2 linked regions of the Tamandua tetradactyla genome follow. The protein of the gene in region 1 purifies or fractionates together with the protein of each later gene. This does not show direct contact. Links are inferred from orthologs where the notes say so. Each region holds a gene or a part of one and is shown on either strand. Other genes may lie near its edges.

Region 1 (7,370 bases):
TGACACCATGTCTAGCCTCAATTCTTACCACTTGGCTTTTCATATGCTGAATCCACCCATACTGGTATACTGATGTTTCTCGGCCTTTGTATGTGCTCTTCTCCCTGGGAGTGCTCTCCCTGCTTCGTTGCTTCTCCTAGCCTTTCCATGCCCTGAAGAGAGGAGACACATTTTTCTCATATTGTTTGGTAGTTGTCTGTTTCCTCTCAGCAGCCTCTCAGCTCCTTGAAAACAGGGATCTCTATATTGCTCTACAAGTGTTTGGTAGTCAAATGCGTCTTGAATAAATGGCTCCCAACACCCTGTATGGTACTTAACATGTGTTCAATAAATGTTTATTAACATGTGCTTAATAAATTTTTATTGAATTAATGTTGTTGAATATGAATCATTGTATTTTTGCTTGCTGTTATAGGTGTAGGAAGCTTGGTCCCTATGACTTTGAGGTGGTAGTTTTTGTTGCAATAGGTTGCCTGGGTATCAGGAAGAGCTACAGAATTATCTGGATTATTTTCTCCCAGCTTTTGTTTCTTCTCTACAGGCATGGGTTGGAATTGGAGCCTGTCACCCCACCTGATTGCAACCAGCATCATGTGGTTGCCAACTGTTCTGCATTCATCTGTTGATGCCGCCCAGAAAAAAACGCCGCCAACGATCCCAGAAAGCTCCACTGCTATTCCAGCAACAACCACTGGAGGGCCCCAAACACCACTCTGGATCCCCACAGCTTCCCATCACCCATACTAAACGGGTGCCCAGCAAGCCTATTGATCACAGCACCATCACTTCCTGGGTAGGTTCATAGGATTCTTATTTTGACTTTTACTCCAGTAGGTGTCTCAGAATGCTAACCATTGAACAAGGACCTCCAAAGAATAAGATTTTTGGGGTGCAAAAGACAAAGAAGCATTGTATTCTTTCTGTTTTCAGCCATCTCTTCTTTTTTTCTCGTTTTAAACTGAGACATGGGTTGGTTAGAATTGTTGCCTTTCCCCCTACATTCCTCTAAAGGAGTTCAGTGTAAAGCTTTCACCACCCAATAGCCAGAAAAATGACAAGAATATTGTTCCCTGAGTTTCATATGAGAAGTGGAGTACTCAGGTATTCTCTTTACTGTTTAATGGATTGAACTTTGAAAAACAAAATGCACAGAAATTGGATATGTGATAATTTAACTATTTAAAAGCTCTGGAATAAGGGATTAGCTACTATATGGCATGGAAATAGTATAACAAAAGGGCTAGACAAAAGCATAAGCTCTGTTTAGTTAAGAGTGACTAATAAATAAAACTTGGCCAGGACTGCTTGGAAGAACTGTAATACTCACTTGAGGATTGTGGAAGAAACTTAAATTTTAGAGTTCTGTGGACGAAAATAAGAGTGAATATTTATTGACTACTTACTATGTGCCAGACCCTATGCTGATTGTTTTACATACATGATCTCAGTTCCTCATTCATGCATTCAGCCATTTATTATTTCCTGAGCGAGGCACTCTACTAGGTTCTGGGGACTGTGATGTGAACAAGACTGCTGTTGGTCCCTCCTCTCATGAAATATAAAGATACTTTAAAAGTTGCAGCCATATTGTGTGAAGTCAAAGAGACATTGTTCCTTTCTTAAGTATAAGGAAATAGCCAGAGATTGATTTTTTTTTTTTTTTTTTTTTACCATAGCTCATATCCCTTTCTGTTACTATGCCACTAGACAACTGTTATTTTTCTATTTCTATTACCAAAGTCGGCCCCCGTATAGGATTCTGGTCACTGGATGTCAGTTCCTGGTTATGGTTTGTACTTTCAAGTTTGTACTTGGCAGTTGGTTCTCTTCACTTCTTTCTCTTTTTTTTTTTAATCCTTAGATATTGCCTGAGTTTGACATGACAGCAGAAAGTTGGTATCCAGTCAACCAGAAATGTCATCACCAAGACCAGGCAAGACATTCAAGTCGCAAATCTGCCGCCTCCAAGTTTCCACAACTAATCTTTGAGAGTCCACAGTCTTCTTCCAGTTCAGTGACACTGGAGATCCCCTTAAGCAAGAAGGGCCCTAGTCAACTGGCAAAGGACATTTCTGGAAGGCCCTTAGTTCCAATGCTCAGCCCCCAAAGTAGTAGGGAACTGTCAGTGCATGCACTTCAAAGTCCAGGTTATGTGTTCATTCCACCTGATATCCAGACCCCAGAGTCATCTGTGAAAAAACCCATTCACCCAGATCAGAGGAAGAACAGCCTTCCAAGCTGCTCCCTTCACTCTAGTACTCCCAAGAATGAAGGGCCTGGACCTGCTCTAGTTAAAGACACTCCTGAAGAGAAGTATGGCATAAAGGTCACTTGGAGGAGACGGAAACACCTATTTGCTTACCTCAGGGACAGAGGGAAGCTGAGCAGAAGCCAGTTCCTTGTGAAAAACTGACTTATCAGATAACAGCCTCTTTATTAAGAAACACAAGAAATTGCTGATTTTCATAGAGTTGCTAAAGTAACTTTTCTGACTCACAGGAAGAGTACATCAATAGAATAAAATGGAAATAACACCAAATTAAAAAACAACTTTAACTGGAGCCCTGTAACCAAAAGGAAATTAAACTCCCTGATTAGCTTTTTAAAATACCTTGTTTCATAAACAGTTGGATTTAGTGCCATAAACAGTTTACTTCATATTTTTCTTATATTAACTGTTTAATTAATTTTAAAATGGCTTTTAACTTTAAAATGTATGTAAATAAATGGTTGCAGAAAGTTTTCAGAGAACTGTGCTGCTCATTGTCAGTAATGCAGCAATAGTGCCCCACTCACAAAAGGTCTTTCTTATTTCCTTTAGCCACTGCTCATTAATCCGTTATCTCTTTTAGACCAATTCATTCCACATTTTGAGAACCAACTCTGTGCCACGCTCAGTGGCAACTTCCTTTATGACTGGATGGGCAGAAAAAAATCAAAGGAAACGCATGACTTTTTTATAGTTGAGCTGCCGTCTCAGCACCCTGGCTCATCTGCTGAAAGAGCAAGAATAGGACAAGTTCTATTTTCATAAATACAGTGGGACCAGGGTAGATACAGACATAGACAAGTTACTTAGGCTTGCTTAGGTTTTGACATTTTTTTTCCCCCACCAAAGAAATCTGTAAACATTAGGTAGGATGGGAAAATGATTTCTTGTAGCTGTTTAAAATGTATGAAAATAAAGTGCAAAGTTTTCAGACATGATTACTTCTTGTTGTAACTAATGCAGAAGGGCTGCCCAGTCAAGAAAATGTCTCAATTGTCCTTTTACCCATACAAATAATGTCATTCAACCCTATTCACTCAGTATTTATTAAGAATCTCGTCTGTGTCAGATCCAGCCCAGCTTATTATTCTGCTTATTTTATAGAGGGGGATTTGAAGCACAGATCATGAACCATGTTCAGGTTCACTGGATGAGTGGAGACTGACCCAAAGTGTTCAATGCTCTGCTCTCCTAGCTTATGTCAAGTTCTATGTCTCTTAAAAAAATCAACTTCTGGATTCAAAATTAATGTGGAAATAACTTTGACTTTGGAATGCAATAAACTAGTCAGTGTGCAACAATAGTGGTGGTAAGAAAGGAATTGATGGTTGAGGACAAGATTTATTGGAAACAATGCTATCGTTTTAGATAGTGGATCCCATTATGGGACATGGATGTTTGAAGATGGTCTATAGATTGGAGAGAAAGGTGGATGGAAAAGTTTCTGGATTCTCTTGTGCTTTAGGAGAGTGTATAGCAGGTCTAGGAATGAGCTAAAAGCTTAGGCTGGAGTGGGAGAAGCTGAAGTTTTGGGCAGATGTGAGAAGCAGGTGAAAAGTGTGAGGCCAGGAAACTAAAGGAAAGATGGATTTAATTGGCGGATATCAGCTGAGGAGGGTACTTGCGTGTTTGAGAAGAAGGCCTTCGTTTTCGTGGAAGGAAAAAGATTGTGAGAGGGTCAGCTGGTCTGTAAGTCCTTACATTACAGATCTCTGGCAGCGCCATGGGTGGTCTTTGGGAGTACCGGGAAGCCACTCTGGGTGGTGGCTAGTGGGGGTTGGGCGGCTCCTCAAAGGGACTCGCATCTCCGTCGCGGGAAACCAACGGCGCAGTGGCAAAAACATCCTTCAGCACGCAGCCCTTCCCGGCGCAGCGCTCCAGGGGACCAGGCCCTTGCGCGTCATCCCCGCTCCGGCGCAGGCGCCTTTAACTCTCTAGTTCTTCCCTCCTCTTAGAAACCCTCTCGCATCCCGGTGGCGGCAATAGCCAATGAGAGAGGAACGGTAGGCACATGGACCAATGGGCGGTGGTGACAGTGCAGGGTGTGGTTGCCAGGGGGCGGGGCCCGGCTGCCTGCCAGTCTTGCCAGCCTAGCAGCGGCGTCTACGAGTCTGGATGTGATTGCCACTTACTTAGCAGCGGGTGATGGAGGCGTCGCGCTATGGACGTGGACCCAGTGGGGATAGGTAAGAGATGGATTGTGGCTAGTCCCTTCGCGAGCGAGGCGGGGAGACGAAGTGAGAAAGTGGATGTCCTGTCCGGGATGTCTGAGGGGAGAAGGCGGTGGGCTCCTCTCTGGGAAGCGATCTCTCTCCCTACTCCCTGGGACAGGACCCCTTTTAAAGTGAGCAGAAGAGCGCGGCGACTCGGCAGCTTTGCCCATCAGCAGAGGCTCCTCCCCGCCTTGGGAAACTCTTGGAGTTTTCGTTCCGAGCTCTCATTGCTCTGGAGGGCCTCAGTTTCCCCTTATTTAAAATGTATTAGCCCTGCTCTTCACGCACTGCCTGGTAGTTTAATAACTGAGATTGGATACATCCTCTGCTTTCCGAGGATGTCGAAGCAGAAGGTTGTGAGTAATACTGGATACTTTGCACTAATGCTGAAGCTTTTGCTAGGCAGTGCTGAATTCTGGAACAGTTGTTCCAGGGCTGAAAATACAAAACTCGTTTTCTTCTGTCTGCTTTCTAGCAGTTATCTCTTACTCGGGATTTTCTGTCTTTTTATAAACGTACCATACCCGTTGTTTGTGCCCCTCTTTCTTTCTCTTTCGTAACTTCGGCCTCCGCCAGAGGGAGAGCCTGGAAAATAAAACGATCTGAAATCTCAGCCTGCCAATTTCTTGTTAGCCAGATTAATGAAAAGTTAATGGGGATCGGTGTGAAATCATTAGCTTAAAACTTGACATTGTCTGAGGATTTAAATCATACACACACCATCTGCTTTTTAAAAAATTATTATTCCATTACTACTGCGAATAAAGATTTGGCACGTAAAGATTCAGGCTGCTTTATTATTTTTTTCGTTTTTATTTGTTTATTTATTTAGTCTGTTTTTTACTAGAATAAATTTAAACAATTCTAAACCATTTTTAAAAATTGTCACTAGAGAGGTGTTGGGGTAGAGAACACTCCTTCCTCCTTCATCAGGTTCTATTTATGTGATAGTGGCACTCTCAAAATGTGTTTACAACACTTTTTTTTTCCAAGTGGAGAGAAAAATAATCCACACTTACAAGTATAAATATGGGAATGCTAGGATGAGGTAAAGGTAATATTCAGCTTCTGTGGTTGAGTTCAGATGGTACTTGTTTAATTGTGGACACTCAATAAATCTTAGTTGAGTTTTAAAGCTATAAATTTCATAGTTATCAGATGTTTGATATGACTCACAATTTTTGGGAAAAAAGTAATTAACTTTGAAATTGGCATCTGGAGGCAAATGGCTATAATTTATTGGAACTGAAGTTTGAGATTTAAATGAAGATAAACATTTCTTTTCTTTTTTTTCTTCCCCAAAACACAAGCTCTTTAATTTTAAAAATTGAAATAAAAAAAGAAAAATAAATTAAAGAAAATTGACATCAAAGGGGAGTGTGTGAGTCACCAAATATTTCTCTTGCGGTAGGTAATGTTAGTGCAGCTTTTCAGTTTAACTTCTTTGTTGCTAAGAGGGAGTGAAGTTTATCTCTTGCTGTGTTAGTTTCAAGTTGTGTCTTTAAAGTTTTTGATGAAATACATTGATAGAGTCTTTGATATTAATGTACCTGAGAAGTTAGGATTTAGGGGATAAGTATTTGATTACTGAATCGTTATATAGACATTGCTTTTTTTCTTTCTGGTTTATTTGAGTAGACAGAGGGAGATACCTGAAATCTCTGAACTGTAATCCATCTGCCTTGATCTCTGATAATGAGCCTATATATAGCCTTTATCTTATGCCCTTGTGATTGTAAAAACTTTGTGGCTGACCCTCACTTGTACTCATTTTATCCGGTTTTTTGACTCTAAAATCTTGTGATCACTAACCCTCACGTTTATTATTGAAGGGTCTTGGGTCAGCCCAGAATGCATGCACCCCAAATCTAAAGTTATCTTGATAACCGAAGCTGGCTCTGACCTAAATGGGCCTGCCTGAATGCATAGTAGCTTGTATTTTAACTTGTAAATCACCTGTACCTCATTGTAATATTAAAATTCATGCCCATCATTATATTAAGGCCACAATTTTCTTACATATGTTCTTTCACTAAACGTGTAATGAGTCTGCACATTGTCCTGAAACCTGCCTATCTTTTCATACTATAAAACTGTCAGAATTACTGCAGTTCAGGGAGACAGATTTGGGGTGGATAGGTCATCTGATCTCCTGCGTCGTACCTAGCAACATTTTTTTTCTCTCTTTGAAACCCGTGTCTTAGGAATTGTCTATTGAACGCATACGGCAGAGAGTGTACCACCTTTGTTTAGTAACATTAATACCTTTCGATGTGAAGATGATATCTGCCTTTCAAATTTCCTGTGATTTTTTTCTTCTTTGACTTATGTGACTGTTTTAACATAAGACAGATTTATTTTCAACAAAGTAGAAATATTAACAGTAAACTTTAAATGTTTTTCTTGTATCTCAAATGTTTAGTGAAAATTGGAGATAGAATTTGAAGTAGCACTCTGAGGACCTTTGTTGAAGCTGGGCATTTGTATTATAGAATTTCTGGAGAGGATAGGGATTGGCTAGGGAGAGAACTTTTTTTTTTCAGGGAGTATTATTTTATTAAATCATGCACATTATGTGTGTTAGGGAAGTTGGTTTAATCTGTATTAGAGATTAAACTAACTTGAGCTCTATCTGGCCTTTGTGATAAATAATTTGTGATACAGAATTGAAGGTATGGTGAGAGACTTCCCAGTGTGATCTTGTGATCCAGACTTGGGTCGGAAAATCCTGCTCTGTGGTTTAAACAATACATCAGGATTTCTCTTTACAAATATGAAAAGCAGTAGTGGCCTGAAGTTATGTCCTGGTTAGTCTTATTATCTGCTCCCATGCCTTTTTTTTTTTTTTTTTTTTAGTGTCTCACCAGATCACTGAGTAGTTACAAACA
Region 2 (7,681 bases), on another chromosome or scaffold:
AGGAAGACTGTGTTTCAGGAAAAGTGATGTAGGACAGAAGAACATTCCAAAGAAAAATAGATAATTCTTTGCTTTAATATGCAAATAAAAATCTCCCATTTACACTACCTGTTTGATTCCTGCAGGCATTTGAGTGTGCAACTTCTGTAATAGAGTAAAATTAATATAGTGGTAAAAAGCATTGGCCTTAGAGTGAGGCAGAAATGAGCTTGAGAGGTGAATCCACAATTTACTCACTATGTGACCCTGGCAAATTACTTATCCTCCCTGTGCTTCAGTTTCTTTATATACTTAAAAGAGAAGTAATCATAGTATCTACCTCAGAGGACTTTTGTGAGGTAGCAATAAGATCAAGGATCTGAAGTTTATAGCCCAGTGCCTGGCATATAGTAAGAGTTGCCTATTATGAGTGCAGAGGACAAAAAAGAGCAACCATCTCCAAAGAGAGCCTTAAAAGGTGTGCAGAATTTCCACATAAGATGACAAAAGAGGGCATGTTTCAGATACAGATAGGCCTACAAGAAGTCAGGGAGGGAATGGCAAGCAGCCTGTCTCACTGGTCAAAACAGGCTTCATCTGTTTAAAAAGTTGAAAAAGTGATAAGACTTCAAGTAGAGTTATGAATGAAGCTGATCTGGATAAGACCAAGGTAAATTAGAATACAGGGTAAATGATGATAAGGTCCATATTTTAAAACTTCAACTTCTGGGAGTGCAAGGCAGTTCAGTGGCAGAATTCTCGTCTGCTATGCAGGAGACCTAGGTTCAATTCCTGACCTATACAGTTCCCAAACAAACAAACAAGCAAACAAATGAAAAACAAAACAAAACAAAAAATCAAAAAATGGTGCTGCAATAAGGGGATACCCACATGAAAAAAAGAATGAAACGTGAACCCTGCCATACAACATACACAAAAAAAACCACAAAAACTTCAATTTCTGTGTGAGACCAAAGGAAGAGATGTTTATTTGGTGCAAAACAGATATTTTGGGTAGTGCATTTCCTAATTTAACTTGTATGGTCAAGTTTAGTTGAACAGCATAAGTACATGGAATCTTGAATAGGGTGTGAGATCTTGTTGGTTTGTACAGGTTAGTATGATGCCCTGACAGATCACAGAGAAATTTGAGCAGTGAATAAAGAAGTACTTGCAAGGTCCCCTTGGGGGACCTGGGAGAAAGGAGGAAATATTCAACTTCCCCATTTGGAGAATTTCTGATATTCTCACAAGCAGTGGGGACAACCAAATCAATATGTTGAGCCCTCGATCTTGGGGTCCGCCTCTATGAAATTTATTCCTGCAAAGGACAGGCTAAGCCTACTTAAAATTAGGCCTAGGAGTCACCTCCAGAGAACCTCTTTTGTTGCTCAGATGTGGCCTCTCTCTCCAAGCTAACTCAGGGCAGTGAACACACTGCCCTGCCCCGCAACATGGGACATGACTCCCAGGGGTGGAAATCTCCCTGGCAATGTGGGACAGAAGTCCTGGGATGAGCCGGGACCCAGCATTAAGGGATTGAGAAAGCCTTCTTGATCAAAAGGGGGAAGAGAGAAATGAGACAAAATGAAGTTTCACTGGCTGAGAGATTTCAAATACAGTCAAGAGGTTATCCTGGAGATTATTCTTACACATTATATAGATACCCCTTTTTAGTTTAGGTGTATTGGAGTGGCTGGAGGGAATTACCTGAAACTGTCGAGCTGCGTTCCAGTAGCCTTGATTCTTGAAGACGATTATATAAAGATATAACTCTTACAATGTGACTGTGGAATTGTGAAAAGCTTGTGTCTGTTACTTCTTTTATCCAGGGTATGGATGGATGAGCAAAAATATATCGATACAGAATAAATAAATAATAGGGGGGACAAAGGGTAAAATAAATTGGGTAGATGGAAATACTAGTGGTCGATGAGAGGGAGTGGTAAGGGGTATTGGTATATATGAGGGTTTTTTCCTCATTTCTTTTTCTGGAGTGATGCAAATGTTCTAGAAAATGATCATGGTACTGAATACACAACTATGTGATGATGTTGTGAGCCACCGAGAATTCACCATGTAGGAAATGTATGTGTGTGAAGATTTGTCAATAAAAATATTTAAAAACAAACAAACAAACAAAAAAGAGGCTTCATGAGAAAGCCGAAAAGATCATCTAGGAAAACTGAAAGTCAGGCTGAGCACTACCCACTAAGTCAGTATTTCCCAAAATGTACCACTGTGTGATGGATTTAGGTGATAAACGGACTAAGACATTAAATAACATAGACTGATAAGGTGAGAAAGTCATTCTTACAATTCTCTTCCAAATCTTCTAATTAAGCATAGGTGAGAGTCTTGTTTTGATGCCATTCATTTTAAGCACCTCTCTGACAAGAGTTGCTCCTCTCCAAGTTTAGAGGCAGTAAACCTCAAGTTTAAAGGCCCCCTAGCAACTACCTAGCTACAACTTATTAATATTGTTTTGTTTCTCCCTTTTAGCTTTATAGTTATCGTTAAAAGAAGTAATACACTTTCCTTTTAAAAACATAATTAAGCAAAAATAAGTGATAAAGAAAAACGTCAAGTAAACAAGAGTATGGGTAATATATGGATATGGCAAAAACTGAAGTTTGGGAAACGCTGTTGTGGCTATAAGATACAGTCAAAACGAATTTTGAGTAAGGAGGCGACAAGACCAGAACAGGCCACGACCCGACGCGTGATGTATCCCTTGGCCCCTTCCCCAAGACTCAGTTTCTCCATTCACAAAGTAAGGGGTTGACCTTGCAGTCTCCCAGACTCGGGGTTCAGTGCCCCTCGGCCCAGGCCTCCAGCCTGTTGCCTTTAGCAACTGCAGTGATTCACGTAATGGTTCCCGCCATCCCCGTTGGGGCTCGGCTACCCCATCCTCCCAGGCTGTCCCAAGTCTCACCACTGCTCGGCTTTATCTCTCCACGTCAACACGGCTCTCATCGCGGTTTCTCAAGCCTCAGATCCCTCCGCCCCGCCACAGCAACAGGCCCTCTCAGCAAGCTACTTTGGCTACCTGCGCTGCCCCTGGCAACGCACTTGCGCAGTGAGCCAGGAGCAGGCAAAGACTTCCGAATGCGCATGACCAAAAGGGAGAGCCAGAAAAAGCAAAAGTGAAGCGGGACCAGGAGCCTAGAAAGCGCATGCGCGATGAAGGCGCGAGCGACAGACCGGGGGCGGTGCATCTTCTCGATAAAGAATTTGATTGGCTGAACCACGAAAAATGGCAGCTTTTGCTGAGGAGTTGGCGGGTAAGGAGCTGTAGAGTCTGACAGACTTTCCATATATTCATATCGAGGTTTCAGCCCAGTGTTCTGAACTTAAGAAGCTTTCACGTGTTACTCCGGCCCTCCAGACGTTACAGCTGCGCAGGGGCTCGGGTCGCTGCAGCCGGAGCCCGCTTGAGGAGCACGGCTGAAATGGAGAGTCGGGACCTGGGGGACGGTGGAGCTTCCCGCTTGGACACCTCTAGTGAACGCCTAGTCCCAGAACAGCCGTGTGACCCTCGGCAAGTTACTGTCTCTTTTCGGGCCTCAGTTTCACCCCCTGTAAAGCGAGAGTGGGCGAGGAGAAGATGTGTGGTCCTTTCTAACCTTGACATTCTAGGTTCGACAGAGACCTCTGTGCCCTGGGTCTGATTGTTCGGAGATAAGACTGGGTCACAGGTACCACTCCTCCTGTGGGGATTAGCCTTGGGGTGGGCCCGACTTCCTTGCCCCAAATGACAGGGGAGCTGGGAGGCGGTTTTGTGGTGTAAGGAGAGATAGCTGCTTGGATTGGAGGATCCTAAAAAGATTTTGGAGTTGGACCTAGATTTTATGTGGTCGTGAACAACCAGGGACACCCAGACATGGGAAGAGAACTACAGTTTTTATGGAGTGCTTGCATATGTGCGATCTAAGGCTAAGATGATTTACCTACTCGTCTCAATAGTTAGTCCTCAGAATTAACCTTAAAAGAGGTATCACCTCCTTTTCACAGATAAGGAAACTTGGCTTTGGAAGGTTAAGTAACTTGCTCTTGGATATGCACCTGGTAACTGACAGCTGGATTTGAAACCAACCTGTTCACTTCAAAGTTTGTGCTGTTTTCACCAGGTTTCAGTTCCTTTATCTCTAAAATTATGCACTATGTAGTTTCATAAGATCCCATTCAGACCCTCCGAATTATTTCACTCGAAATTCAGTCTGAATAACTTGATTCTAAGTCTAGTTAGTTACTCGCTCTTGCTTAGTTTCCCTATTTTTAGAAAAGAAGTTGATTTCCATGATTTCTATAGACCCATCCAAGTTTCAACATGTGTGATGTAATGATTAGGATATACCCTACTGAAACTTTTCAGTAGTTTGAGTGGGAAGGTTATTGGACCAAGAAAGTTATTGGACCAAGATTTGGTAGATCTGGGTTCTGGAATCAATTCTGCAAGTAACTTTACCTTCCTGTCACTCAATTTTATCAATGAAATGAAAATAATCCTTATCCTACCTACCTCACAAAGTTATCATGAGAAATAAGAATGGGGGAGAATTGAATCAAATTATTTATCTTTGGGAGTCTTAGGACATCTGATGAAAGTCATGGGCACTGCCTCCCGGAAAAATGCATGTATATATAAATTTTTTTCCTCACCTGTTTAGGGAGAGAAGAGTTGTCTCATTGACTCCTTTAAGCAGTTCTCTTGATCCCAGGTTTAGAGCTCAGCTGTTGGTTCATATTCTCATAATTATGCCAAGTGTCACCAGAAATCTTTATAATAGTTCTACTTAATGATTGACAAAAAAAGTTCCTAATAGGTAGCTTGAGCTTTTCATTGCACGAGTATTTCCAACCCTTTGTTAGCCCTTTGTTGCAGTCTATACTGACTTTAATTTCCTATTTTATCTTAATAGTCCATATGGTTTTCACCATGTCATGGATTAAAATTGTATAAGTCGAGGGAAATAAATTTCAGATGAGCTAATCACTTGTACTTTGTTTTTCAGTGAGGAAGAAGGTTCTCTGAGATTGGGAAGAGTGGGAGAAGATGAGAAACAAATGGTGATAAAAACAAGTAGCAAGAGTAATCCCCTGCTACAAGAATCCATTACTCCTGCTCAGTTTGGTATTACTACAATGACAGAAGGCCATAAGTCTGTCCCTTGTGGATGGGAAAAAATTGTAAAGCAAAGGTTATCTGGGAAAACAGCTGGAAGATTTGATGTATATTTTATCAGGTGAGCATTTTGTCTAGACAGGTAGTGGAAAAGCATAACAGGAATCCTAACTTGTATCTATTTTTGCAATAAAACTTAAGTGAGTTCTCTTTCTTCAGTGTCACTGATTAGTTACCTCAGATAATTTGGAGACAATTACAATTTGTCCCTTCTATAAATGGTTAATGGTGAGTTTGCATTTAAGTTATATACATAAAATTATTTTGGGTTATCATAGAAGAAACATTAAAAGTACCATTTCATCACTGGTTTTTATTTTAAATGACAATTGTTCATGGCTCCATTTAGAAATTATGCATGAGAAATCTAAAATGTGGTCCAATTCTTTTTTTAAACTCACTTGTATTTGCTAGCAATAAGTTTCTTTAATATCACATTCTAGCCCTCAAGGACTGAAGTTCAGAACCAAAAGTTCCCTTGCTAATTACCTTCACAAAAATCAAGAGACTTCTCTTAAGCCAGAAGATTTTGATTTTACTGTACCTTCTAAAAAAGACATCAGATCAAGATATAAAGACTGCAGCATGACATCTCAGGCATCCCAACAACAAAATGAAACTAACATTTCAAACTGGAATCTCAGGACACGAGGCAGGTGGAAAAAAGATGCGTTTCCTCTGCCAAGTGGTAGCTTGGAATTGCAAGAGAGCAGAGGACTCTCTAATTCTACTTCCAATCATTTGCTTTTGAAAGAAGATAAGGGTGTTAATGATACTAACTCCAGAAAGGTTAGAAAGTCCAAAGGAAAAGTGACTCTTTTGAAAAGAATTCAAATTAGGAAAACTAAAAGAAGATGCCAGAAAAGTCTTTCAGATTCCATGCAAAGTAGTAGAAAAAGAGAATCTGTGTGTAATAAAACAGATGCTGAAGGTGAGTCTGTCACACAAGAATCTCAGCTTATTAGAACTCTCTGCACTGCTGATGCCAGAGCAATCGACGAGACCCTCAGTGCAACCAGTGAAGAAAAGGGACTTGTAAAAGAAGAATCATTGAGTTCAGGATCAAACTTTCATCTTGAACAACTGACTTCTGGCATCATAAACAAATTATGTTCAACCAAAGAAGCAGAACACCAGAAGTGTCGGGATGCATTTTTAGAATCTGAGGAAATCAAAACAAAAGTAAAAGTTGGGGAAAGGAAGGAACATTTGCATACTGACATTTTGAAATGTGACTCTGAAATGGACAACAACTGCTCACAGACTGAGAAAGACTTTACTTCTGTGAAAATATTTCAAGGTATTCAGTGCTTTAAAGTGCTATTAAACGTTATACGATGAGGAATTTATTCTTTCCTATCTGTATTTCATGCTTCTACATGGTTAGGATGTGGGAATAGAGCCAGGAAATAGGGCCAAATGTCAGACACATTCTACCAGTTGATCCTAATACCTTGTCTAACTACCTTAAAGCCCTTTCCTGTGGAAGAGACGGAATCAGCTGGTTACTACTTTGGTCAAAGGAGAATTGTGAGGGTAACAGCTGCCACTGTCTCTCCCTGGTGCAACAGCTGGGACTCTGCTCAATAGTGCTTTATTTTCTCCCCAACCTCTTTCCAGCTGGTAATCTTGAGACTTAAGGAAAATTAAAAGGTTTCACTTGTGAAAAGGTTTGGGGAGGACACCTTTATACATAAACTGATTGAGAATAGTCAGTGTCTTCTTTTGTGCCCCTCTTACTACTCTTGTGTGACTTCAAATTTAATTTTGTATGTTTCATAGTCATTGTTATCTTCTATTATAATGTAATGCTTCTCTAAAATGCTTTAGAGCTCTAAATAATTCAAAACTATAATCACATAGTTCATCTATTATTTGTAATATGCTCTTAATGCAGATTCAGAGCTTAGCAGTTTTGCTTTTATGTTACCTGAGTGAATACGACATAAAAAGGAGATCTTTTGAACAGCTCTGTATTAGTTATTCATTATGTTTTTATGGTATAATGAATAACTCCTTTAAAGAAGAATAGTGGTTTTACTTAAACTCCCATGGGGAGACAACCTGGACAGATTGGTGGAGCAGGGGGTTAGACTTGATTCCTGCTCTCAATCCCAGCAATGATTTTTTTTTTTTTTAATTAACGGAAAAAAAAAAAAAAGAAATTGACATAACACCCACCAATGATTTTATGTCAACTCTGTGTCTGGAATTTCTCTACCTTTAACCAAAGATGACCATATATACCTAGGGATTACATATGAGTGTTTTAAAGACTTTGAGCTTCTTAAAGCTTTGAGGCTACTAGATTTATTGCTAGTTTAACAGGCAAATTAAATATTAAAAACATCCTTTTGCAACTAAAATGGAAGTGTCCTATCCATCCTACACATAAGGAAGTCTAGTTTTCAGCAAAAGATGATCTAGGTTAGTAGGTATCTAAAAGGAATAGTGAAGACTTTCGCATTGGCTTACCTGGAAATTGCCAAATAGACTAAGCTTGTCTCCTAAGGAATA

What was found. The genes of interacting proteins can lie anywhere in the genome.
Region 2: the proteins of TULP3 (region 1) and IFT122 purify together in Homo sapiens (co-immunoprecipitation; 6 studies listed by BioGRID and IntAct, counting the BioPlex papers as one, with this or other methods). This does not show direct contact. The link is inferred for Tamandua tetradactyla from reciprocal best matches to the Homo sapiens genes TULP3 and IFT122.

What each region holds. Positions count from the first base shown.
Region 1 is NC_135333.1:65,027,467-65,034,836, forward strand, and holds the start of TULP3 (tubby-related protein 3), read left to right. Parts: upstream 1-4,337; 5' UTR 4,338-4,414; coding exon 4,415-4,455; intron 4,456-7,370. Other genes in the region: RHNO1 (RAD9, HUS1, RAD1-interacting nuclear orphan protein 1), read left to right, coding at 626-793, 1,862-2,413. UniProt on the Homo sapiens protein: Negative regulator of the Shh signaling transduction pathway: recruited to primary cilia via association with the IFT complex A (IFT-A) and is required for recruitment of G protein-coupled receptor GPR161 to cilia, a promoter of PKA-dependent basal repression machinery in Shh signaling.
Region 2 is NC_135335.1:35,907,885-35,915,565, forward strand, and holds the start of IFT122 (intraflagellar transport protein 122 homolog), read right to left. Parts: upstream 3,081-7,681; 5' UTR 2,956-3,080; coding exon 2,915-2,955; intron 1-2,914. Other genes in the region: MBD4 (methyl-CpG-binding domain protein 4), read left to right, coding at 3,432-3,524, 4,999-5,225, 5,608-6,464. UniProt on the Homo sapiens protein: As a component of the IFT complex A (IFT-A), a complex required for retrograde ciliary transport and entry into cilia of G protein-coupled receptors (GPCRs), it is required in ciliogenesis and ciliary protein trafficking.